Linked DNA regions of Struthio camelus. The protein of the gene in region 1 purifies or fractionates together with the protein of each later gene. This does not show direct contact. Links are inferred from orthologs where the notes say so. Each region holds a gene or a part of one and is shown in the gene's direction. Other genes may lie near its edges.

What was found.
Region 2: the proteins of RAD9A (region 1) and RFC5 purify together in Homo sapiens (affinity purification with mass spectrometry; 3 studies listed by BioGRID and IntAct, with this or other methods). This does not show direct contact. The link is inferred for Struthio camelus from reciprocal best matches to the Homo sapiens genes RAD9A and RFC5.

The regions. Positions count from the first base shown.
Region 1 is NC_090946.1:3,695,992-3,707,204, forward strand, and holds RAD9A (cell cycle checkpoint control protein RAD9A), read left to right. Parts: upstream 1-6,616; 5' UTR 6,617-6,624; coding exon 6,625-6,945; intron 6,946-7,020; exon of another isoform or gene 7,021-7,213; coding exon 7,214-7,322; intron 7,323-7,398; coding exon 7,399-7,469; intron 7,470-7,593; coding exon 7,594-7,728; intron 7,729-7,859; coding exon 7,860-7,974; intron 7,975-8,064; coding exon 8,065-8,164; intron 8,165-8,610; exon of another isoform or gene 8,611-8,633; coding exon 8,634-8,743; intron 8,744-8,834; coding exon 8,835-8,941; intron 8,942-9,029; coding exon 9,030-9,094; exon of another isoform or gene 9,095-9,160; coding exon 9,161-9,262; intron 9,263-9,398; coding exon 9,399-9,600; intron 9,601-9,681; coding exon 9,682-9,780; 3' UTR 9,781-10,274; downstream 10,275-11,213. Other genes in the region: PPP1CA (serine/threonine-protein phosphatase PP1-alpha catalytic subunit), read right to left, coding at 10,366-10,476, 10,780-10,914. UniProt on the Homo sapiens protein: Component of the 9-1-1 cell-cycle checkpoint response complex that plays a major role in DNA repair. The 9-1-1 complex is recruited to DNA lesion upon damage by the RAD17-replication factor C (RFC) clamp loader complex.
Region 2 is NC_090958.1:5,304,266-5,315,366, reverse strand, and holds RFC5 (replication factor C subunit 5), read left to right. Parts: upstream 1-6,632; 5' UTR 6,633-6,694; coding exon 6,695-6,738; intron 6,739-6,838; coding exon 6,839-6,903; intron 6,904-7,043; coding exon 7,044-7,180; intron 7,181-7,523; coding exon 7,524-7,603; intron 7,604-7,989; coding exon 7,990-8,063; intron 8,064-8,253; coding exon 8,254-8,413; intron 8,414-9,318; coding exon 9,319-9,400; intron 9,401-9,570; coding exon 9,571-9,700; intron 9,701-10,033; coding exon 10,034-10,111; intron 10,112-10,200; coding exon 10,201-10,255; intron 10,256-10,536; coding exon 10,537-10,633; 3' UTR 10,634-10,896; downstream 10,897-11,101. UniProt on the Homo sapiens protein: Subunit of the replication factor C (RFC) complex which acts during elongation of primed DNA templates by DNA polymerases delta and epsilon, and is necessary for ATP-dependent loading of proliferating cell nuclear antigen (PCNA) onto primed DNA.

The DNA.
Region 1 (11,213 bases):
CAAGGACCGGGCCACCAGCCTGGAGACGGGGCAGGGACACAGGGGAGGGCCAAGGACCGGGCCACCACCCTGGAGATCGGGCATGGACACAGGTGAGGGCCAAGGACCGGGCCACGACCTTGGAGACAGGGCAGGGACACAGGGGAGGGCCAAGGACCGGGCCACCAGCCTGGAGATTGGGCACGGACACAGGGGAGGGCGAAGGACTAGGCCACCAGTCTGGAGACGGGATAGGGACACAGGGGAGGGCCAAGGACAGGGCCACAACCTTGGAGACGGGGCAGGGACACAGGGGTGGGCCAAGGACCGGGCCACCACCTTGGAGACGGGACACAGGGGAGGGCCAAGGACTGGGCCACCACCTTGGAGAAGGGACACAGGGGAGGCCAAGGATCGGGCCACGACCTTGGAGATGGGGCAGGGACACAGGGGAGCGCTAAGGACTGGGTCACCAGCCTGGAGACGGGGCAGGGACACAGGGGAGGGCCAAGGACCGGGCCACCAGCCTGGACATGGGACACAGGGGAGGGCCAAGGACCGGGCCACCAGCCTGCAGATGGGACATAGGGGAGGGCCCCCTGGAGACGGGGCAGGGACACAGGGGAGGGCCAAGGACCGGGCCACCAGCCTGGAGATGGGACACAGGGGAGGGCCAAGGAACGGGCCACCAGCCTGGAGACGGGACACAGGGGAGGGCCAAGGACAGGGCTAGGACCTTGGAGACCGGACACAGGGGAGGCCAAGGATCGGGCCACAACCTTGGAGACGGGGCAGGGACACAGGGGAGGGCCAAGGACCGGGCCACGACCTTGGAGAAGGGACACAGGGGAGGGCCAAGGATAGGGCCACGACCTTGGAGATGGGGCAGGGACACAGGGGAGGGCCAAGGATCGGGCCACCAGCCTGGAGACGGGGCAGGGACACAGGGGAGGGCCAAGGACCGGGCCACCAGCCTGGAGATGGGACAGGGACACAGGGGAGGGCCAAGGATAGGGCCACCAGCCTGGAGATGGGACACAGGGGAGTGCCAAGGACTGGGCCACAACCTTGCAGACGGGACACAGGGGAGGCCAAGTACTAGGCCACGACCTTGGAGACGGGGCAGGGACACAGGGGAGGGCCAAGGACCGGCCCACGACCTTGGAGATGGGGCAGGGACACAGGGGAGGGCCAAGGACAGGGCCATGACGTTGGAGACAGGGCAGGGACACAGGGGAGGGCCAAGGACCAGGCCACCAGCCTGGAGATGGGACACAGGGGAGGGCCAAGGACCGGGCCACCACCTTGGAGATAGGGCAGGGACACAGGGGAGGGCCAACGACCGGGCTACCAGCCTGGAGATGGGACACAGGGGAGGGCCAAGGACCGGGCCACAACCTTGGAGACGGGGCAGGGACACAGGGAAGGGCCAAGGACCGGGCCACGACTTTGGAGACGGGACACAGGGGAGGGCCAAGGACAGGGCTACGACCTTGGAGACCGGACACAGGGGAGGCCAAGGATCAGGCCACCACCTTGGAGACGGGGCAGGGACACAGGGGAGGGCCAAGGACCAGGCCACCAGCCTGGAGACGGGGCAGGGACACAGGGGAGGGCCAAGGACCGGGCCACCAGCCTGGAGATGGGACACAGGGGAGGGCCAAGGACCGGGCCACCAGCCTGGAGACGGAGCAGAGACACAGGGGAGGGCCAAGGACCGGGCCACCAGCCTGGAGATGGGACACAGGGGAGGGCCAAGGACCGGGCCACCAGCCTGGAGATCGGGCAGGGACACAGGGGAGGGCCAAGGACCGGGCCACGATCTTGGAGATGGGGCAGGGACACAGGGGAGGGCCAAGGACTAGGCCACCAGCCTGGAGACGGGGCAGGGACACAGGGGAGCGCCAAGGACCAGGCCACCAGCCTGGAGATGGGGCAGGGACACAGGGGAGGGCCAAGGACGGGGCCACCAGCCTGGAGACGGGACACAGGGGAGGGCCAAGGACAGGGCTATGACCTTTGAGACCGGACACAGGGGAGGCCAAGGATCGGGCCACCAGCCTGGAGATGGGACAGGGACACAGTGGAGCGCCAAGGACCAGGCCACCAGCCTGGAGATGGGACATAGGGGAGGGCCAAGGAACGGGCCACCTGCCTGGAGATGGGACACAGGGGAGGGCCAAGGAACGGGCCACCAGCCTGGAGACGGGACAAAGGGGAGGGCCAAGGACAGGGCTATGACCTTTGAGACCGGACACAGGGGAGGCCAAGGATCGGGCCACCAGCCTGGAGATCGGGCAGGGTCACAGGGGAGGGCCAAGGACCGGGCCACCACCCTGGAGATCGGGCATGGACACAGGTGAGGGCCAAGGACCGGGCCACGACCTTGGAGACAGGGCAGGGACACAGGGGAGGGCCAAGGACCGGGCCACTACCTTGGAGACGGGGCAGCGACACAGGGGAGGGCCAAGGACCGGGCCACCAGCCTGGAGATGTGACACAGGGGAGGGCCAAGGACTGGGCCACCAGCCTGGAGACGGGGCAGGGACACAGGGGAGCACCAAGGACCGGGCCACCAGCCTGCAGATGGGACACAGGGGAGGGCCAAGGACCGGGCCACCAGCCTGGAGATGGGACAGGGACACAGGGGAGGGCCAAGGATAGGGCCACCAGCCTGGAGATGGGACACAGGGGAGTGCCAAGGACTGGGCCACAACCTTGCAGACGGGACACAGGGGAGGCCAAGTACTAGGCCACGACCTTGGAGACGGGGCAGGGACACAGGGGAGGGCCAAGGACCGGCCCACGACCTTTGAGATGGGGCAGGGACACAGGGGAGGGCCAAGGACAGGGCCATGACGTTGGAGACAGGGCAGGGACACAGGGGAGGGCCAAGGACCAGGCCACCAGCCTGGAGATGGGACACAGGGGAGGGCCAAGGACCGGGCCACCACCTTGGAGATAGGGCAGGGACACAGGGGAGGGCCAACGACCGGGCTACCAGCCTGGAGATGGGACACAGGGAAGGGCCAAGGACCGGGCCACAACCTTGGAGACGGGGCAGGGACACAGGGAAGGGCCAAGGACCGGGCCACGACTTTGGAGACGGGACACAGGGGAGGGCCAAGGACAGGGCTACGACCTTGGAGACCGGACACAGGGGAGGCCAAGGATCAGGCCACCACCTTGGAGACGGGGCAGGGACACAGGGGAGGACCAAGGACTGGGCCACCAGCCTGGAGATGGGACACAGGGGAGGGCCAAGGACCGGGCCACGACCTTGGAGACGGGGCAGGGACACAGGGGACGGAAAAGGAACGGGCCACCAGCCTGGAGACGGGACACAGGGGAGGGCCAAGGACTGGGCCACCAGCCTGGAGATCGGGCAGGGACACAGGGGAGGGCCAAGGACTGGGCCACCAGCCTGAAGATGAGACACAGGGGAGGGCCAAGGACCGGGCCACCAGCCTGGATACGGGACAGGGACACAGGGGAGGGCCAAGGACAGGGCCACCAGCCTGGAGATCGGGCAGGGACACAGGGGAGGGCCAAGGACCGGGCCACCAGCCTGGAGATGGGGCAGGGACACAGGGGAGGGCCAAGGACCGGGCCACCAGCCTGGAGATGGGACACAGGGGAGGGCCAAGGACCGGGCCACCAGCCTGGAGATAGGACAGGGACACAGGGGAGGGCCAAGGACTGGGCCACCAGCCTGGAGATGGGACACAGGGGAGGGCCAAGGACCGGGCCACGACCTTGGAGACGGGGCAGGGACACAGGGAAGGGCCAAGGACCGGGCCACCAGCCTGGAGATGGGACACAGGGGAGGGCCAAGGACAGGGCTACGACCTTGGAGACCGAACACAGGGGAGGCCAAGGATCAGGCCACCACCTTGGAGACGGGGCAGGGACACAGGGGAGGGCCAAGGACTAGGCCACCAGCCTGGAGATGGGACACAGGGGAGGGCCAAGGACCGGGCCACGACCTTGGAGACGGGGCAGGGACACAGGGGAGGGCCACGAACGGGCCACCAGCCTGGAGATGGGACACAGGGGAGGGCCAAGGACTGGGCCACCAGCCTGGAGACGGGGCAGGGACACAGGGGAGGGCCAAGGACTGGGCCACCAGCCTGAAGATGGGACACAGGGGAGGGCCAAGGACCGGGCCACGACTTTGGAGACGGGGCAGGGACACAGGGGACGGCCAAGGACTGGGCCACCAGCCTGGAGACGGGGCAGGGACACAGGGGAGGGCCAAGGACCGGGCCACAACCTTGGAGACGGGGCAGGGACACAGGGGAGGGCCAAGGAATGGGCCACGACCTTGGAGATGGGACAGGGACACAGGGGAGGGCCAAGGACCAGGCCACCAGCCTGGAGATGGGACACAGGGGAGGGCCAAGGACCGGGCCACAACCTTGGAGATGGGGCAGGGACACAGGGGACGGACAAGGATCAGGCCACCACCCTGGAGATTGGGCAGGGACACAGGGGAGGGCCAAGGACTAGGCCACCAGCCTGGAGACGGGACAGGGACACAGGGGAGGGCCAAGGACCTGGCCACCAGTCTGGAGACGGGGCAGGGACACAGGGGAGGGCCAACGACCGGGCCACCAGCCTGGAGATGGGACACAGGGGAGGGCCAAGGACCGGGCCACCAGCCTGGAGACGGGGCAGGGACACAGGGGAGGGCCAAGGACCGGACCACGACCTTGGAGACGGGGCAGGGACACAGGGGAGGGCCAAGGACTGGGCCACCAGCCTGGAGATGGGACACAGGGGAGGGCCAAGGACCGGGCCACGACCTTGGAGATAGGGCAGGGAAACAGGGGAGGGCCAAGGACCGGGCCACCAGCCTGGAGACGGGACACAGCGGAGGGCCAAGGACAGGGCCACCAGCCTGGAGACGGGGCAGGGACACAGGGGAGGGCCAAGGACTGGGCCACCAGCCTGGAGATGGGACACAGGGGAGGGCCAAGGACCGGGCCACAACCTTGGAGACGGGGCAGGGACACAGGGAAGGGCCAAGGACCGGGCCACGACTTTGGAGACGGGACACAGGGGAGGGCCAAGGACAGGGCCACGACCTTGGAGACCGGACACAGGGGAGGCCAAGGACCGGGCCACCAGCCTGGAGATAGGACAGGGACACAGGGGAGGGCCAAGGACTGGGCCACCAGCCTGGAGACGGGACACAGGGGAGGGCCAAGGACCGGGCCACGACCTTGGAGACGGGGCAGGGACACAGGGAAGGGCCAAGGACCGGGCCACCAGCCTGGAGATGGGACACAGGGGAGGGCCAAGGACAGGGCTACGACCTTGGAGACCGGACACAGGGGAGGCCAAGGATCAGGCCACCACCTTGGAGACGGGGCAGGGACACAGGGGAGGGCCAAGGACTAGGCCACCAGCCTGGAGATGGGACACAGGGGAGGGCCAAGAAACGGGCCACGACCTTGGAGACGGGGCAGGGACACAGGGGAGGGCCAAGGAACGGGCCACCAGCCTGGAGATGGGACACAGGGGAGGGCCAAGGACTGGGCCACCAGCCTGGAGACGGGGCAGGGACACAGGGGAGGGCCAAGGACCAGGCCACCAGCCTGGAGATGGGACACAGGGGAGGGCCAAGGACCGGGCCACGACTTTGGAGACAGGGCAGGGACACAGGGGAGGGCCAAGGACTGGGCCACCAGCCTGGAGACGGGGCAGGGACACAGGGGAGCACCAAGGACCGGGCCACAACCTTGGAGACGGGGCAGGGACACAGGGGAGGGCCAAGGAATGGGCCACGACCTTGGAGATGGGACAGGGACACAGGGGAGGGCCAAGGACCAGGCCACCAGCCTGGAGATGGGACACAGGGGAGGGCCAAGGACCGGGCCACGACCTTGGAGATGGGGCAGGGACACAGGGGACGGACAAGGATCAGGCCACCACCCTGGAGATTGGGCAGGGACACAGGGGAGGGCCAAGGACTGGGCCATGACCTTGGAGATGGGGCAGGGACGCAGGGGAGGGCCAAGGACCGGGCCACCAGCCTGGAGATGGGACATAGGGGAGGGCCAAGGACCGGGCCACGACCTTGGAGACAGGGCAGGGACACAGGGGAGGGCCAAGGACCGGGCCACCAGCCTGCAGATGGGACACAGGGGAGGGCCAAGGACCGGGCCACCAGCCTGGAGACGGGGCAGGGACACAGGGGAGGGCCAAGGACCGGGCCACCAGCCTGGAGATGGGGCAGGGACACAGGGGAGGGCCAAGGTCCAGGCCACCAGCCTGGAGATGGGACACAGGGGAAGGCCAAGGACCGGGCCACGACCTTGGAGACGGGGCAGGGACATAGGGGAGGGCCAGAGGCCAGGGCATATGCCTAAGAGATTGGGCAGGGACAGAGTAGTCCAGGCCCGCGGCCTCGGGATGGGGTAAGAACACAACAGAGGGCCAGGAACCAGATCACGGCAAGTTGTAGGGAGGGCAGGCAGGGCCCAGAGCCAGTGGCCCAGGGCAGGGCTGGAGCCAGCGAGCCCCTACCAACCCAAGCACCCGCCACATACCCTACCGCGCTCACTGCCTTAAGACTCTCTGAGGGGGAACGCTCGTCCCCCGTCCCGCCTCCCGCAGTCGACGTCCTATTGGCTAACGGCTATGTCGCTCAAACTCTCTCTCCAGTCTTCGGCGTCGTCTGTGCTCTCCCGCCCAATGGCCAGGCGGCAGGAGGCGGGCTCACCTGCACGCGCAGCGCCGAACCCGCGCGGCGCTAGGAGCGGGGGAGGGGGGAAGGCTCCGCCCCTGCGTCAGGTGACGCGACGCTTGGCGCGAGGACGGAGGGCAGCCGGAGCCTCTCAGCCGCTCACGTGGCCGCGCCAGCCAATAGGCCTCCCGTGGGGGCGTTGCGAAGGCGGGCGCCCGCCCAATGGGAAGAGAACGAGTGAGGGCGGCGCGCGGAGCGCAGAAGCCTGCGCAGCGGTGAGGCGAAGCGGGAGCAACCACTCGGGGCCGCGGGGGGGGGGGTGTGTGGAATGCGTGGATTAAACCATTCCCAGGGGCCGTTGGGGAGCGGGGGTGGGCGCCATCTTGTCGGTGCTCCCGGGGCGGAGGGGGTGCGACCGTGCGGGTGTTGGGCGCGGAGGATGGGGGTGGGGGGAAGCTCACAACCATCGAGGGGCGGGGCAGTGCTGGGGGCGGGGCCAAGCAGGGTGTGGCCGGGGCGGGGCTAAGGCACGGGCCTCAGCAGGACCGAGGCCTGGCGCTGGCCCCGTCGTGGTCCCCAGTGCTGAGCCTGGCCCGGTGGCGGCGGCAGCCCGGCGCCATGAGGTGCGTCGTCGGGGGAGGCAACGTGAAAGGTGAGCGGGGCGGCACCGGGGCCGGGGCGGGCCGGGGGCGCTGCCCCACCTCACCCCCTCTCTGCCGCCTCACCAGTCCTCGGCAAAGCCGTGCACTCGCTGTCCCGCATCGGGGACGAGCTCTACTTGGAGCCCGCCGACAACGGGGTAAGGGGCGCTGAGGGGGCCCGTGGCTCCCGACTCCGGGGAGGCGCGGGTCTCTGCCCGGGCGTCCAGGCCTTTGGGGCAGCGGGAGAGGCCCCGCACGGTGACGGCCGCGCTGTCCCCCCAGCTGTCCCTGCGGGCTGTGAACTCCTCGCGCTCGGCCTTCGCCTCCTTCCTCTTCGCCCCCCTCTTCTTCCAGCTCTATGAGAAGGGCAGCCCCCAGCCCGCTGGGGAGCTCTTCCGCTGCAAAGTCCTCATGAAGGTACCCGGCGCCTGGCCGCCCTGCCTCTGGGAGCCTGCGCCCCGGCGTCCCCTTCGGGTCCCAGTCCTTCTGCAGCCACGTGGGGCGGCAGGACAGGGTGACGGGTCCACACATCTGTCCTGTGTCTGCAGTCCTTCCTGGGCATCTTCCGGTCGCTGCCCTCGCTGGAGAAGACGGTGGGGAAATGCCTCATCTTGCTCAAGCCCCAGGCTAGCCGCCTGGTCGTGCAGCTCCACTGCAAGTACGGTGAGCGCTGGAGGGCAGTGTGTGGGCACCGGCGCCACCCAGGCTGCCGGGGCCACCCCTGCCCCGCTGAGCCCGTGCCTCCTGCACCAGGTGTCACCAAGACCCATAACCTGGCCTTCCAGGAGTGCGAGCGGCTTCAGGCCGTCTTCAGCACGCAGCAGTGCGCCAACAGCCTCTGTGCCCCAGCCCGGTGAGCAGGGCGGCTGTGGGGTGACAAGGGGCAGAGCGGGGCCGGAGCAGTGCGGCAGCGCCTGGGAGGGGGATGAGAGCGGAGAACTGGGAGCTGCAGGAAGCAGCGGTGGCACAGGGCTGGCACTGGGGCAATGCGAAGTGGGGATCAGGGGTGGCACTATGGGCAGAGCGAGGGGTTTGCAGATGGTATTAGGATGGGCACTGGCAGGATTGGGGGGACACTGGGATGGGTGGGGGGGCATGGCATGGGGATCGGGGGGGGGACACTGGAATGGGGATCAGGGTGGCACTGGGATGGGTGGGGACATGGCATGGGGATTGGGGTGGCACTGGGATGGGTGGGGGACACTGGGGATAGAAGGGGGATTGCTGGTGGGCAGGGCTGGCCCTGCAGGCCCCGGGGTGGGCACAGGGCCCCCAGCTCTGCGCATGCACCCCTGCCAGCCCCACGCACCACGGCCCCCCAGGGTCCTGGCCGAGGCCGTGGTCCACTTCCCCGCGACACTGGCTGAGGTGACGCTGGGCGCCGGCCCTGGGGGCAAGATCAGCCTCCGAAACTACGTGGAGGATGAGAAGGGTGAGCCATGACGCCTGGCGGGCAGCGTCTGCCCGCTCCCCTGGGCCGGGGCCCCAGCATGACCCCCTGATCCCCCCCCCCGCCCCCCCAGAGTTGGGCAGGACGATGGTGACGGAGCTGTGGCTGGCTGAGGACGAGTTCCAGACGGTGGCCGTGGCCCCGGGTACCTGCATCACCTTCTGCCTCAAGGAGTTTCGGGTGAGCCCCTACTGCGGCCCCCTCCCCTTTATGCCAGGGTGCTCCAGTTTACTCCTCTGCCTACCTCAGCCTCATCTTTGCCCCACAGGGGCTCCTGACCTTCGCTGAGGCCTCGAACCTGCCTCTCACCATCCACTATGACGCACCCGGCAGGTAGGACCAGGCCCCTGGCCGCCCCCTGCGCTCCCGTGCCGAGCCTCAGGCCCTCTGTGTCCCCAGGCCAGCAGTGTTCACCGTGGATGACCCCCTGCTGGAAGTGCACCTGGTCTTGGCCACCCTCTCGGATCCGGACAGCAGCTCGCAATCCCCCACGGCCAACGGGTAAGCAGGACAGTGCCCAGTGCTCCCAGCCTCGGCGGGGGTGACAGTCCCAGCTCAGCCCTCCAGCTGCCATCAGTAGGGGCCAGAATCAACAAGCTTCCCTCTGCTCCCCTTACTTGCTCTCTCCCCAACACAGTGCCTCTGACTTGCCTGCCCCTCCGGACGACTTCGCAGACGATCTTGAACCCTACATGATTGCCATGGAAACCAGCACCTATGAGGGAGGCTCCGGCGTGCCCCCCAGCCCCACCTTCCCCCTGCGTACCCCTGGCCCAGCAGACAGTGAGCCTGAAGAGGAGGAGGAAGAAGCTGTGCCAGGGACACCCCCTCACAAGAAGGTCTGGGATGGGCACGGGTGTACCTGGGGGACATGGGGACGGGCACAGCGCCCTCCCTGAGCCCTGTCTCTCCCCTCTTAGTTTCGCTCACTGTTTTTTGGCTCCGTGCTGACACCGGGAGGGCCATGCGTGGCCCCAACCCAGGAGGTGCTGGCAGAGGACAGCGATGGCGAGTACTGACAGCCCTGACGCCGCCAAGCTCCCTGGCCCCCGCGGGCCCCCCGCACTGTCCACAGCACCCCCGGCCTGCGAGCATGGCCGCACTCGGAGCTGGGCTGGCCCCAGGGCCCTTGCACGGCAGTGGCTGGCGCTGCCTGGGCGCCCCCTCTCTGGGGCTGGACGCCTGGGTTCCTCGTGGAACGGCTGCAACCGCGAACCAGGCACGTGGCTCCCCCCCGCGGCGTCACCCCCCAGCACCCAGGCGCCACAATGGGCACAGCTGGGCACTGCTGCCCCCCCAGTCCCAGCATCAGCCCCCAGACACAGGCACCCCCCCACGACCCATTACAAGTTTATTCCCAAAAAACCCCCTGCCCCCCCTCCACTGCCATCCTGGGGACAGGTTCCCCCAGTTGCCCCTCGCGTTCCCGGCCCCGGAGGGGTGTTTTTGGTACTGTGGAGTGTGGCGGGGGGGGAGGGGGATATTACAAATAAAAAAACGAATTGAAAGAAAAGCAACCTGATGCTGGGGAGGGCTGGGGCCCGCGGGCACCAGGCCGGGCCCCGTGCCCTCAGCGGGTGGGCAGCGGGCTGGTGGCTCACGGCTCACTTCTTGGCTTTGGCGGAGTTGCGGGGAGGGGTGACGGGGCGTCCCGCGGGGTTGAGCCCGCTGAACTGCCCGTATTTGCCCTTGTTCTTGTCGGCCGGCTTCAGGATCTGGGGTGAAGGGGGTGAGTGGAGGGCTTGCACGTGCGTGTCCCATCCTGTCCCCCAACCCTGCGGGCACGGGAGCCCCCCAGGTCCCCTCCTGCCTTGCGGGCACTGTGGAACCCCCAACACCTCTCCTTGCCCCCCAGTTCCACGTGTACCGGGGACTCCCTCTACTTCCCCTCTTGCCCCCCAACCCTGCATGCACCAGGACCGCCCTTCCCCTCCCTACCCCAGCCCTGCAGAAACCGGGGACCCTCCCGCCCTTCCCTCCTGCCCCCAACCCCATGGGCGTTGAGGGCCCCAGCCCACCTGGAAGGAGCACATGAGGGTCTCATCCACGCTCATCATGGCACCCGCGTTGTCGAACTCCCCACAGTAGTTGGGCGCCGAGAAGAGCGTCACAAGCTGGCGCTTGGCGAAAAACTCGTAGCCATCCTCCACCACCTGGCACAGGCATCAGAGCTGGCACTCAGCCAGACACCCCTTGAGGCAAATAACCACCTCGTGGGGCAAATACCCGCCGGGATCCTGCCCACGTACTGTCCAGGCAACCTCCCCACGGCAAATACCACTCCATGGGAGCAAACACCCACATAAAGCCCAAACACCCGCTGGGGCAAGCGTTCCCCTCTGAGGGCAAACACCTCCTTGGGAGCCCTGCCTGTAGAGACTAGGCATACCCTAGAGCAAATGCTGCCCTTGGGGGGCAAACGCCAGGTGCACAAACACCTGCCTCAGAGACC
Region 2 (11,101 bases), on another chromosome or scaffold:
TCAAGGCTTGCTGCAGCGTGCCTCCCCCACGCTCACTCCCCCTCCTCTCCCGCGAGCTCCTGCCTCAGAGCCGCCGCTCCGGCTGCCGCGAGCGGCCCGGAAAGCCCACGGCCGCGGTTTGGGGAGCGAGCGGCGGAGGACACCGGAGCCGACGTCCCCGCCGCCGTGCAGAGAGCCATGTGCCTTAAAAGTGCCTTCTGCAGCAGCCCCCGCCGGTGCGGCTCTCCTACTGCACACGCAGAAGCGCACAGCGCAATCGCCTGTGCGTAAATGGGCAGCACACCCCAGGACTGCCTCTGCGCCAAATACACGCAGAAGGGGCGAAGGGCGAGAGCCACCCTCGTCCAGGCGCGGGAGAGGAGCGCCGGGGACAAAACGTGCTCGCGGGGGCAGCCGGGCTGGCGGCGCGCCCCGGCCACGCGGCTCCTCGCGCTCGCAGCCTTCCCCGAGGCGACAGCTTTGCCCTGCGCTGGCTGCCCCTTTGCAGGACGCTGTGCGGGCGCTGCCCAGGGGATACGGCCCAGAAGGTTTGCAACGTGCTGCTCATCGCTTTCTTTAAGCAGGAGTTTTAATTTACAGGCTTGGCCCATCGCCCCAGCGTCGCGGACCGTCTCCATCCCTCCCTCCCGCTCGCAAGCCGTTCACTTGCGCTCAAGGATCCTCTTCCAAGTGCATGTGTGCAGGTTTGTGGGGGGGAATTAAAGGGGTTTTAAAGAAATTACTGGGATTTTAGCTTCCCAGCCAGGCGTGTGCTGTCCTGCCTGGAGGGCACATCCCACTGGAAGCACCAACACCTGGTCAATTCGGTCACAACTGGTCATTTTTGGCGCTGCACTACAGGATCAATGTTTTCGGCAATGGCTCAAAGGGAAGAGCGTAAATCCCCACTCGGGCACTCGACCTCCGGGAGCACTTTGTCCCTCCCGGCTCCTTGCGAGCCGCGCACCCGAAGACAGCACGGCACAGCCGGAAGAGAAAGACAAGCCCCTGCAGAAAGCGCAATGCACTTAAAGCAACGCAATTGCACCCAAATGCACCTAAGCGGGACGGGCTAAGCTCCAGGCCACGTCCATGGAAATCAAGTGAAAGGAGCCTCCCGCGCGGCCAAACCGAGCTCTTCGGCCCTTTGCCGACGCGGGGTGGATGGTTACGTGCGGGATTCAGCCCGGCCTGGCCGTGAGCCCGGTCTGGATGGAGGCAGACCTGGCTCACGCAGGGACAGAGCGCCCCGAGTCGTCCTGCCCGTCGCGGGTGAGCACGATTTCGCTGGGTACAGCTCCAGATCTGGCTCGGATTGCTTAGGAATACAGCAGCATAAGCTGCCACCAGTCCTTCGCAAGGAGATGCTGCTGCATCTCTCCAGCCCGCAGCGCTATTATTCCTGTTAGCGGAGGCGTCACGTCCTTTCGCGGGTTTTAAGCGAAGAATAAACGCGCACCTGCTCCAACCAGAGCGATTTCTTGGGGAGAGGTGCAGACCTTTCCTTGAGCGCCTAGAGCAGATCACAGCTGCCTTCCCGGCCGGGCAAACGGCAGTGCAAAAGTCACGGGAATATGCTTGAAATCGCTGGCCACGTTGCCCGCTGCGCCCCTGCCCGGCCCCCGAGCAGAGCGCCCGGGGCCGCGCGGCGCCCCAGGAAGAAGGACATTTCCGTTCGCGCCCGCGATCGCCCGGAGACGCTCGTCTAGAGCGTTTACCTCGTTGCCAAAGCGTTTGGATCGGACTGGGACTGACTAGCGAGCCGCTTGGAAACCGCTGGGCAGAAACCTCCCTCGGCCACAGAGCTCGTCTCGGGAAAGAAATCCTGCTTTGCTGTCGTGAGGTTGAGCATCCCGTTGCAGCCGGGCTGCGCTCTCGATGTCGGTCGTAATTTCACACGTATCTGCATGGGCGCAGGTGCGTGCGTGTGTGCGTGTGTGTATATATGTATATGTGTATGTGTATCCCATACCTGTGTGCGTTGTAGCTGTGTTTTAGCAGGGGTGGATGGCTGGGATCGCCCCCTCGCAGCTCACGGGGCAGCACTGCATCCCCCAGGGCAAAGGACCGGGCCGGGTTTCTTTTTGGGTGCAAACTAGCCCAGTCCCCGGGCCTGCGATAGCCCCAAACCGACTCACCGCGGGGGGAAGCCGACCTCCCGCTCGGCTGCTCTTTAGCCCCGGGATAACGAGGAACGGCCCTCCGGAAAGGCCGGCAGAGAACGGCGTCCTGTCGACTGCTGCGGCAGGCACTTTTTGAAGGCCGTAACAGGCAGATATTTAAATATCGCCTGCGTTTGAAATGCAATGCAATTTCTGTCATTAGCTGGAGCACAGGGAAATAGGAGAGAGAGAAAAAAAAAAAAAGACACACTGGAAATTTTCTCTCCTGCTGGCTTCTGTGGTTAATCAAGTCTTTCAATAACCAAAACGGAGATAACAGGGCAAGGCACTCTTTGTACTCAGCGCGTTTGCAACAACAGATTATTTTTTGCCTAAAACATCTAAGCCACCAGCACAGTCATTTCTACGGTCGTCGCTCCCGGGCGGCTTACGCGGGAGGCAAGGACGGGACGGTCCCGCGCTGCCCACGGCCGCGAGGAGGCACGAGGCAGCGCGCCGGGAGCCCCAGCCCAGCATCTGGCCGCTAGCGAGGAGGCGATCCCCCCGGCCTGTCCGCGGCGCAAAGACAGCCGAGATAACCCCCCCCCCCAAAAAAAAAAAACAACGCAAGCAAAACGGGTGCTGGGCGCTGAAAAACGACCCCGAGAAGCAGCCGCGGGGCAAGACGTGCCGAGGCTTAGGGCGCGCGCCGACCCTGCCGCTCTCCAACCGCCGAGCAAGCTCAGCGGGCCGCTCCGCGCCGAGGCCTCGCCGGGGCGGGCGCACAAGGATTCGGGACAGCCCCCATCGCCTGCAGCCCCCCCCCGCTCGTCAAGAGCAGCCTGCAAAGCGGCCACGGTCCCCCCAAGCCCCCTGCGACATCGCTTCGCTGGCTGACCGAGGATGGACGGACAGATGGCCGGCCGGCCGGATAGCATCGCCGGCGCGGTGCGGCGCGGCTCGGCTCGCCCGTCGCCGCTGCGCCCGCCGCTCGCCGCCTGCGAGAACAGGCCGCGAGCGCCACGAGAAAACACCCTCGTTTCACTATTGTACGGGCAGTCTCGGGCGGCTTGAATTATTCATTTCCTTCGTTATCAGCGTCTGGCTTTCGTAACGGGGCTGGACGCGCGCGGCGTTACTCAGCAACGTCAGCTGCTTCGTTTCTTCGGCAGACGTCGTCCACGGCGCGACGGGCTCCCATAGAGCGCGCGCCGCCGGCGCCGCTCTCCCTGCGGCCCCCGTCCCGGGCGCCCGTGCCATCCGCCGCCCACCCTCGAAACCTGGGGGCCCTTCCGTTTGTTTCGAGGGCCGGACGAGCGAGGAGGCTGCTGCTCCGCTCCGCCGGCCCCGGCTGATTCCCCGCCGCCAAAGAGCCTCCCCGCGGTTTCCCGCGGGATGTACCGCCACCGGTTCCCCGGGATTCCCCCGTCCTCTTGCCCAGGGACGCGCCTGACACCGGGGGGCCGCGGACAAGCGTCCGGCGGGGCCGGAAACTCGTGTCGCTGTTTGCAAAGTACGATGTGAACTGCTGGCCCCCTCGCAAGAGGCACGCTAGGCAAGAAAGCCACCGTTAGACACCGGTTGACAATTCAGCCCGTCACAACAACGCACAGTAGTTGGGGGGGGGGGGGGACATCAATTTTAACAACATTAAGCAGCAAAAAAAAAATCTTCACGCCAGCCTAGACAGCGGTCAACAAATAGCTGAAAGCGCCCATGAGAAATCCGGCCACGGATCTGAGCGCGCACGTACATCCGCTCTGGCATTCAAGATTTATTAATAACGGCGGGAGCGGAGGGGAGGAACTCCTGGAAAATTTGGTTTTGAAGAAGAAGAAGCCGCCCCAGGCAAAGCCAGAAGCGAGGAGGGGAGAAGAGCGGCTCCAGAATTGCTAAATACATGCAAAGTTCAAAAGCGTCACGTGCGCCAGGTCCCCCTGCGAGCCGGTGCCTAGGTGCGTGGCGAAAGGTCCCCGCGGCTCTTCGCCCTGCTGTCCGAAGGGCCATCTGGCCCGGCCGTCACGTGCCCAGAGGAACAGATGAGGCTTGCTGAGCTCAGCTTCGAGCTGTTGCTTTTCCTTATGTGGCTGCAAAAAATAAATAAAAAAAAAAAAAGCAGCTCACACGGTGTGTGTTATCTTGCCTTCGCTCCGTCCCAGCTCGGCCACGCTGCGCGTGGGCACCTAGTGCCCCCAGCCCAAACGAGCCGCAGCGCCAAGCCGTTTTTCTCTGGATTATTTAGCATTCAGGTGTTTCGAGTGGATTGGAAAACTGGATTTCTTAATAGCTGTCAACAGCCAACCTGAGAGGAACACTCAGGGATGTAGGGGCCACGTGCCCCCGGGCTCGCGCAGGGGACCACGTCTTCTAACCCCTCTCAAAGCCGGGCATCATCTTCCCCCGTCCCTCTCCCAGGAGCAGCCAGGATCTCACTGCTTCCTCTTCATCCCTCTTCATCCTCTCTGTGCCAGCGTGGCTAACGTTCACAGGTGGCAGCTAGGCTGCGGTCTACATGGTGAGCACCTACTGCAGATCTCTTCTTTAGAAAACCAGTCAGCAGAGGAAGATGCTGGGTTATCGTCACGATCCGTCCCCGGAAGCCCCCATGGATCCTATTCCCCGCTTCCTTCTGCGCCTGTTGTTTTTCTTTAACCATTGATTCTAAATATTCGCATCTAAAAGGATCTATGGGCCTGCGGTTTCATTTGCGTTTTGTTAAGGACCGGAGCAAATTCTGCTTTCTCCAGGTGCGAGGCACCGCTCCGCAGACACCGGACGCGTCGGTCCAGCGCTGGTACCCGCTCGCATGCCCAGGCGCCGGTTCTGCCCCGGTCTGGCAGAAGGGCTCCGCCGCCTCCCCGCTCCGCTCTTCCGCCTCGCCCGGGGCTGTTTCCCTTTGCGCGGCCCGATTCCTCGCCCCGTGCAGGTGCCCGGGGCTACATCCCTCAGGGAGGACTGTGGCAGAGCAGCCATTCATCCCGGGCTCGCATGGTGTTCATCTTCCGCCTCAAGCTCGTTCTCAGTGAGGAACAGCCGCAAGTATTCCGCTCAAGGTTTTCCTGCTATTTTTGTGGCTGAAGGATGATGTTACGTGTTTTCATGCTGTTGGCCCAGCGTGACATTTGGCAGTTCCTGCTCAGCTCTCCCAAAGCCCTCCGAGAGCTGATCCAGCCCCGGCAGCCGCTCCGCTCCAGCTCCCAGCTCTCCCGGTTTCCCTCTGGTGGGTTTGGGGGTTCGGGAGCGCTTCATGTTTTTTCTTCCCTTGCTGGCAAGAGGATCTCCATAGTATTTTTGGCCTTTCGATTTACTTCACATCTCTACATCCCTGCTTCGGCGGCGGATCGCTCTCCGTTATCCCTCGGCGCTGGTGCTATGCGAGCCAGAGTCTTTCACTGCAGTCCTGTCTGATTCTCCAGCCATCTCCTCTAACCTGAACCAACGCCTGAGCATCCTGCCACCCATTAGCTTCGACTATTTTTCCCGTGAAGCGACTTCTCTAAGGAGGTCCTAGATGTTTGCCAAAGGCACTTCTAAAACAGCAAGGACCCCCTCCTCGTTTGGAGACGACTCCGGTGAGAAAACGCAGCTATTCCTCCAGGAATAGCTGGGAGCCACGCAACCCCACGCAGAAACAGCCCCGTTACTCAGCCGAGGAGTTTGGCAGCACGAGAAGCAGAAGATGGGCCTGGTTTTTCAAGTTGAAAATCAACCAGAAAACGAGACCTCCGAATCTTCAGGCTGCTGCCGCGCACCAGAAAGCAGCGGGTACGGCCACGCACGCTCTCGTCTCGCAGCCGCCTCTTGAGCCCGCCGCTCGCGCCGTGCAACGCGTCGGGCGCCGTCTCCGAAGCGCTGCCCCAGGCTCCCGCCCTGCAGCTCTCGGGCAACCGCGCCGCTCGCTAGCTCTCCCCTCGGCCCGCAGCCCCGCAGGCGTCGGGCGAAGCCCCTCAGTGCGCGCCCAAAAGTGCTCCCAAGAGCACGGGCACGCCTCGGCTTTGGCGGCCACCAGCACCCTGCTCTCCCCGACGGCCCGGGCGCCGCTTCGCCTTGGCATCGGCCAGCGCCGGGCTTTCCCCGAAAGGCTTCGCTCTCGCCAAAAGCGCGGGCGCCGCTTTGCTTTGAGCATCGCTGGTGCCCGGCCGGGGCTCGGCGGCGGCAGAGCAGCGGGGCGGGCTGGACGGGGCGGGCTGGACGGGGCGGGCTCGGCGGCGGTGGCGGGGCGGGCTGGACGGGGTGGGCTCGGCGGCGGCGGCGGTGGAGCGGCGGGGCGGGGCGGGCTCGGCGGCCGGGCGGGCTGGATGGGGCGGGCTGGACGGGGCGGGCTCGGCGGCGGCGGCGGGGCGGGCTGGACGGGGCGGGCTGGACGGGGCGGGCTCGGCGGCGGCGGCGGAGCGGCGGGGCGGGGCGGGCTCGGCGGCCGGGCGGGCTGGACGGGGCGGGCTGGACGGGGCGGGCTCGGCGGCGGCGGCGGAGCGGCGGGGCGGGGCGGGCTCGGCGGCCGGGCGGGCTGGACGGGGCGGCGCAGCGCTGCGGCTCCCGCCCCCGCCGGCGGCCCGGCCCCGCCGCCCCGCGCGCTCTCGCGAGGCCGCCGAGGCGCCTCCCCCGACGGCAGCATGGAGCGGGCGGGCGGCGGCGGCCGCGCCAGGAACCTGCCCTGGTAGGATCGGCTCGGACCGGGCCGGGGCGGCCCCGCGGCGCCCCTCACCTCGGGTCGGGTCGGGTCGGGGGCCGCCCCTCACCCCCGGCTCTGTGTTTAGGGTGGAGAAGTACCGCCCGCAGGCGCTGGCCGAGCTGGTGTCCCACCGAGACATCCTGAGCACCAGTAAGTAGCGGGCCCCGGGCCTCATCCTGCGCCTCCGCAGGGAGCCGGCGAGCGGGGCCGCGGCTGGCGTCCAGGCGTGCTGTGCCCGCTCCTCAGCCCGGCGCCCGCTCCCCCCCGCCGCCCTCCTGCCCCCTCCCCAGTCCAGAGGTTCGTCAGCGAGGACCGCCTGCCGCACCTGCTCCTGTACGGGCCTCCCGGGACCGGCAAGACCTCCGCCATCCTCGCCTGCGCCAGGCAGCTCTACAAGGAGCGCGAATTCAACTCCATGGTTTTAGAGGCAAGTCGGACGGACCCTCCGGCTTCGTCGCCTGCCGCCCGGTCCGAGGAACGGGCTGCGGGGCGAGGGCTGGGGCGGGCAGGGCTGTGCCTGCGGTTGGGCGGTCACCTGCTGTTTCTCGCGCCGGGCACCGAGACTGGCATGGAAATTGCTCCCGCCAAATGCCCGGAATGGGATTTTCCAAGGGGATCTTCCTCTCCCGTGCTGGGCCAAGGCGCTCCCAGCCTGGGCTGGGAGGGAGAGCATTGATGGGCGCCCCAGCTCAGGCGGGAACGGCAGCTGCCGCAGGGAGGGAGGAGAGCCACGGCCGCCACTGCTCTTCCCACCTTCTGTCCCTCTCTAGCTGAATGCCTCGGATGACAGAGGGATCGATATAGTCCGAGGGCCCATCCTGAGCTTCGCCAGCACCAGGACCATCTTTAAGTAAGTGGCAGGGCTGTATTTCCCTTCCTTTTCCCCCTCTGTCCGCAGCCCGGCCGGGCGCTGGGCTCAGGGGAGGTGGTTTTGCCAAGGAAGGAGGTGGCTTCTGGGGTGGGCTTTGTGGCCGAGCAGCCTGCGAAGGAGCTGGGAGTGCCCAGCACGCCACGAGGATGAGGGCGATAAGGCTGCTGGTCAGGAGGGCTCTGATGGTGCTGCTGAGATGCTCGGACGGGCGGAGGGAGCCTCAGCCTTAAACAGCATGTTCCCGGTGGGGCCGGGCTGGGGATAGGTGTCTCTCAGCTCCTTTCTCCAGCATCCAGCTTGACTCGACCCCAGCAGCTTCTAAAAGGCAGGCGAGACCGAAGCCACCTCCTTTCTCTCTCTTTTAGGAAAGGCTTCAAGCTGGTGATCCTGGATGAAGCAGATGCCATGACACAGGATGCCCAGAATGCCCTAAGGCGAGGTGAGGGGCCTGGGGGGCTCGGTCGGGACAGTGGTGTGACCCCACGCTGTTGGCACCCCTCGAGCCTTTTCCAGCCAGGAAAAGGACACGGCTGGCAGCCCCCTCCCACAAGGCACGTGCTCTAGGGCCTCCGTCGTGGATGGCTACGGACCTCGGCAGATGCAGCACCTCTCCTACCTTCTCCTTGCAGTGATCGAGAAGTTCACCGAGAACACCCGGTTTTGCCTCATCTGCAACTACCTCTCCAAGATCATCCCTGCCCTGCAGTCCCGCTGCACGCGCTTCCGGTTCGGGCCCCTCACCCCGGAGCTCATGGTGCCCCGGCTGCAGCACGTCATCGAGGAGGAGAGGTGAGCGAAGGGCACAGGGACGGCGCGGGATGCCGGGGTGGGGGCTCCGCAGTGGTCCCCCTTCCCTCCCGCTCCCCCTGCCTGGGAGGGAACAGCAGCTTCGTTGCTTTTTCCAGGGTTATTTCAAGCAAGTTCTTCCAGCTCTTCCATCAGCAGCGTTGGCTCCCAAGGGCAGGGCTCTGCCCAGCTAATGAAGGCTCTCCGGGGCCGGTCCTGCCCGTGTTTCACCCAGGCCGTGCCAGGAGCCCCGCAGGTGCAAGGAGATCAGCCTGGCCCCGCAGCAGGGGGGCTGCTAACCATCCTTAGGGACAGAGGGGCCAGGGTGGGCCCAGCTGTCCTCTGCTTTACAAGCCAGAGGGGCGGGCAGGCAGAGATTAGGCAGATACACATGTTCTGAGCAAAATTAACCCAATGGCTAGTTATTAATTTTTGCTTTAGGACAAAAAAAAAAAAACCTTCAGTGTCGCAGTGATCTTGTATTTAACTGTCTCCTCAGACTTCAGCTGCATTTGAAATCCAGTGCTGCTGGGCAATTTGTTGTAACGGTGCAAAAAGTACTTAACACTGCAAAAAGTTGCAGTGTTGCTGTTGGCCTTTCTGAAGCCGAATATCCACTTCTTGCCCTCACCTGCCCAGCTGTTTGCGTGAAATAGCCACCGAGGCGGCTGCAAACTTACAAACCAGCTTCACAGCCAACAGCACCAGCCACTGCCCGCGCTGGTGCTGGGCTCTGAGCTCCCGGCCTCGTCCCTGGGCTCCGCGGGAGCGTTACGGAGACCGGGGCCGTGCCACAAAGCTGCCATGGTGGCGTGCTGGGTGTCACCTTGGGCTAGTATCTGGAGAGCCGGCCGTCCTTCGGCTCTCTCTCGCCCTGTGCGGCAGCCCCAGTTCTCCTGGTCTTCCAGGGTGGATGTGACGGAAGATGGGATGAAAGCTTTGGTGACCCTCTCGAGCGGCGATATGCGCAGAGCCCTGAATATCTTACAGGTACGGCCCGTGGCTGCACCTCACGCTGTCCGCAGCAGACACGAGCGTTAGTTGCCTCGCGTAACCCAGGAGCCAGTTGTCCCTGCTGCCTGGAGGGAGTCGCAGAGGAAGGGCTGGCCCCCAGGGAGCCCCTTCCCTCTGCAGCCCTCCTCACCCTTCCTCTTCCCCAGAGCACCGCCATGGCCTTCGGGAGGGTGACGGAGGAGAACGTTTACACCTGCACCGGCCACCCCCTCAAGTCTGACATTGCCAACATCCTTGACTGGATGCTGAACCAGGACTTTTCCGCTGCCTATCGGAGTATCCTTTTCTCTCAGCCTTGCACAGCCCACAGCCGACCAGGGTTGCCTTGAAGCCCGAGCGAGGGCGGTGGAGATGCTTGCTCAAAACAGAGTTCCTGCTAATTCCCCTCCATCCTTGAGTGTAATCCCCGTTGTTGTAAACCCTCCTCTTTTCCAGGGCTTCCCGTCCCGTTACGTCCTGCCCTGGCTGGGGCAGGGCTGGGCCGCGCGTGCCGTGCTGCTCGCTGGGGAGGGTCTCGCTCCCCACCCGCGCTCTCCTGGGGGTGGCTCGCGTCCTGCAGGTCACAGGGAAAGCGCTGCAAGGAAACCCCTTCACTCACTGCCGTCTCAGAAATCACGGAGCTGAAGACGCTGAAGGGCTTGGCCCTGCACGACATCCTCACCGAGATTCACCTGTTTGTGCACCGAGGTGTGAAGCCCGCGCGCTCGGCCCCTCTGCCGGGGGACAGGCATCCCTGCAGCCTGCGCTCGCTCACGCTCGTCTCCTTCTCTCCGCAGTCGATTTCCCACCTTCGGTCCGTATCCAGCTGCTGACCAAAATGGCAGACATCGAGTAAGCGTCCACTCGACCCCCCCGCGGCGCTCCTCGGCCGACGCTGCCGCTCAGGAGGGCTGCCAGCGCTCCCAGCCCGCGGGCTTACCGCTAACGCGCCGTGCCTGGTCTTCACGGCAGGCAGGGGCTGTCGGGAGCCTCCCCTGCACGCCGGCCGCTGCTTCGTGCCCCCGCTGGCGCCTGCCCAGTGCTGCTCTGAGTTTGTCCTGTCCCAGCCAGAGCTGTCACTCCATCAGGACGCTGCTGTAAGTGCTTAAACCTGCCCTTTCCTCCTGCTCCAGGTACCGGCTGGCTGCGGGGACAAGCGAAAAGATTCAGCTGAGCTCCCTCATTGCGGCTTTCCAAGTCACCAGAGACCTGATTGTGGCCGAAGCCTGAGTCCTGCTGGGGTGGGCGCCATCTGCCCCCAGCGGAGGGGTGAAGCGTCCTTGTCTGCAATCCGGGGCGGAAGAGAAGCTCGAGGGGACCATCAGCCCCCCGTGCCCTGACCTGCCTCGATGCTCGGGGCAAACTGCCGGAGCAGAGAACGTAGCTTCTTGTTTCCTTTTTTTGCCAGCCGCCTGCCCGCAGCTGGGGGGGGGGCGAGATGGGCCGCGGTGCTGATCAGCTTCACCGGGAAATGCAGACACCTCTAAAGCCGAGCAGGTTGCATTCGTCTTTTTTCTGCCATACAGGGAACAAGGGCTGAAGGGAGGCAGCTGAGGCTCCCCCCGGGCCCGTCCGTAACGAATAACGCGTCCCATTGCCAAGGCACCGGCGTCCTTCGGCCGGTGGCAAGAGCACGCTCCACGCGCCAACCCGCTGACCCTGCAGAGCTCAGCGGAGCTTCACTGAGCCGTTGGGTGC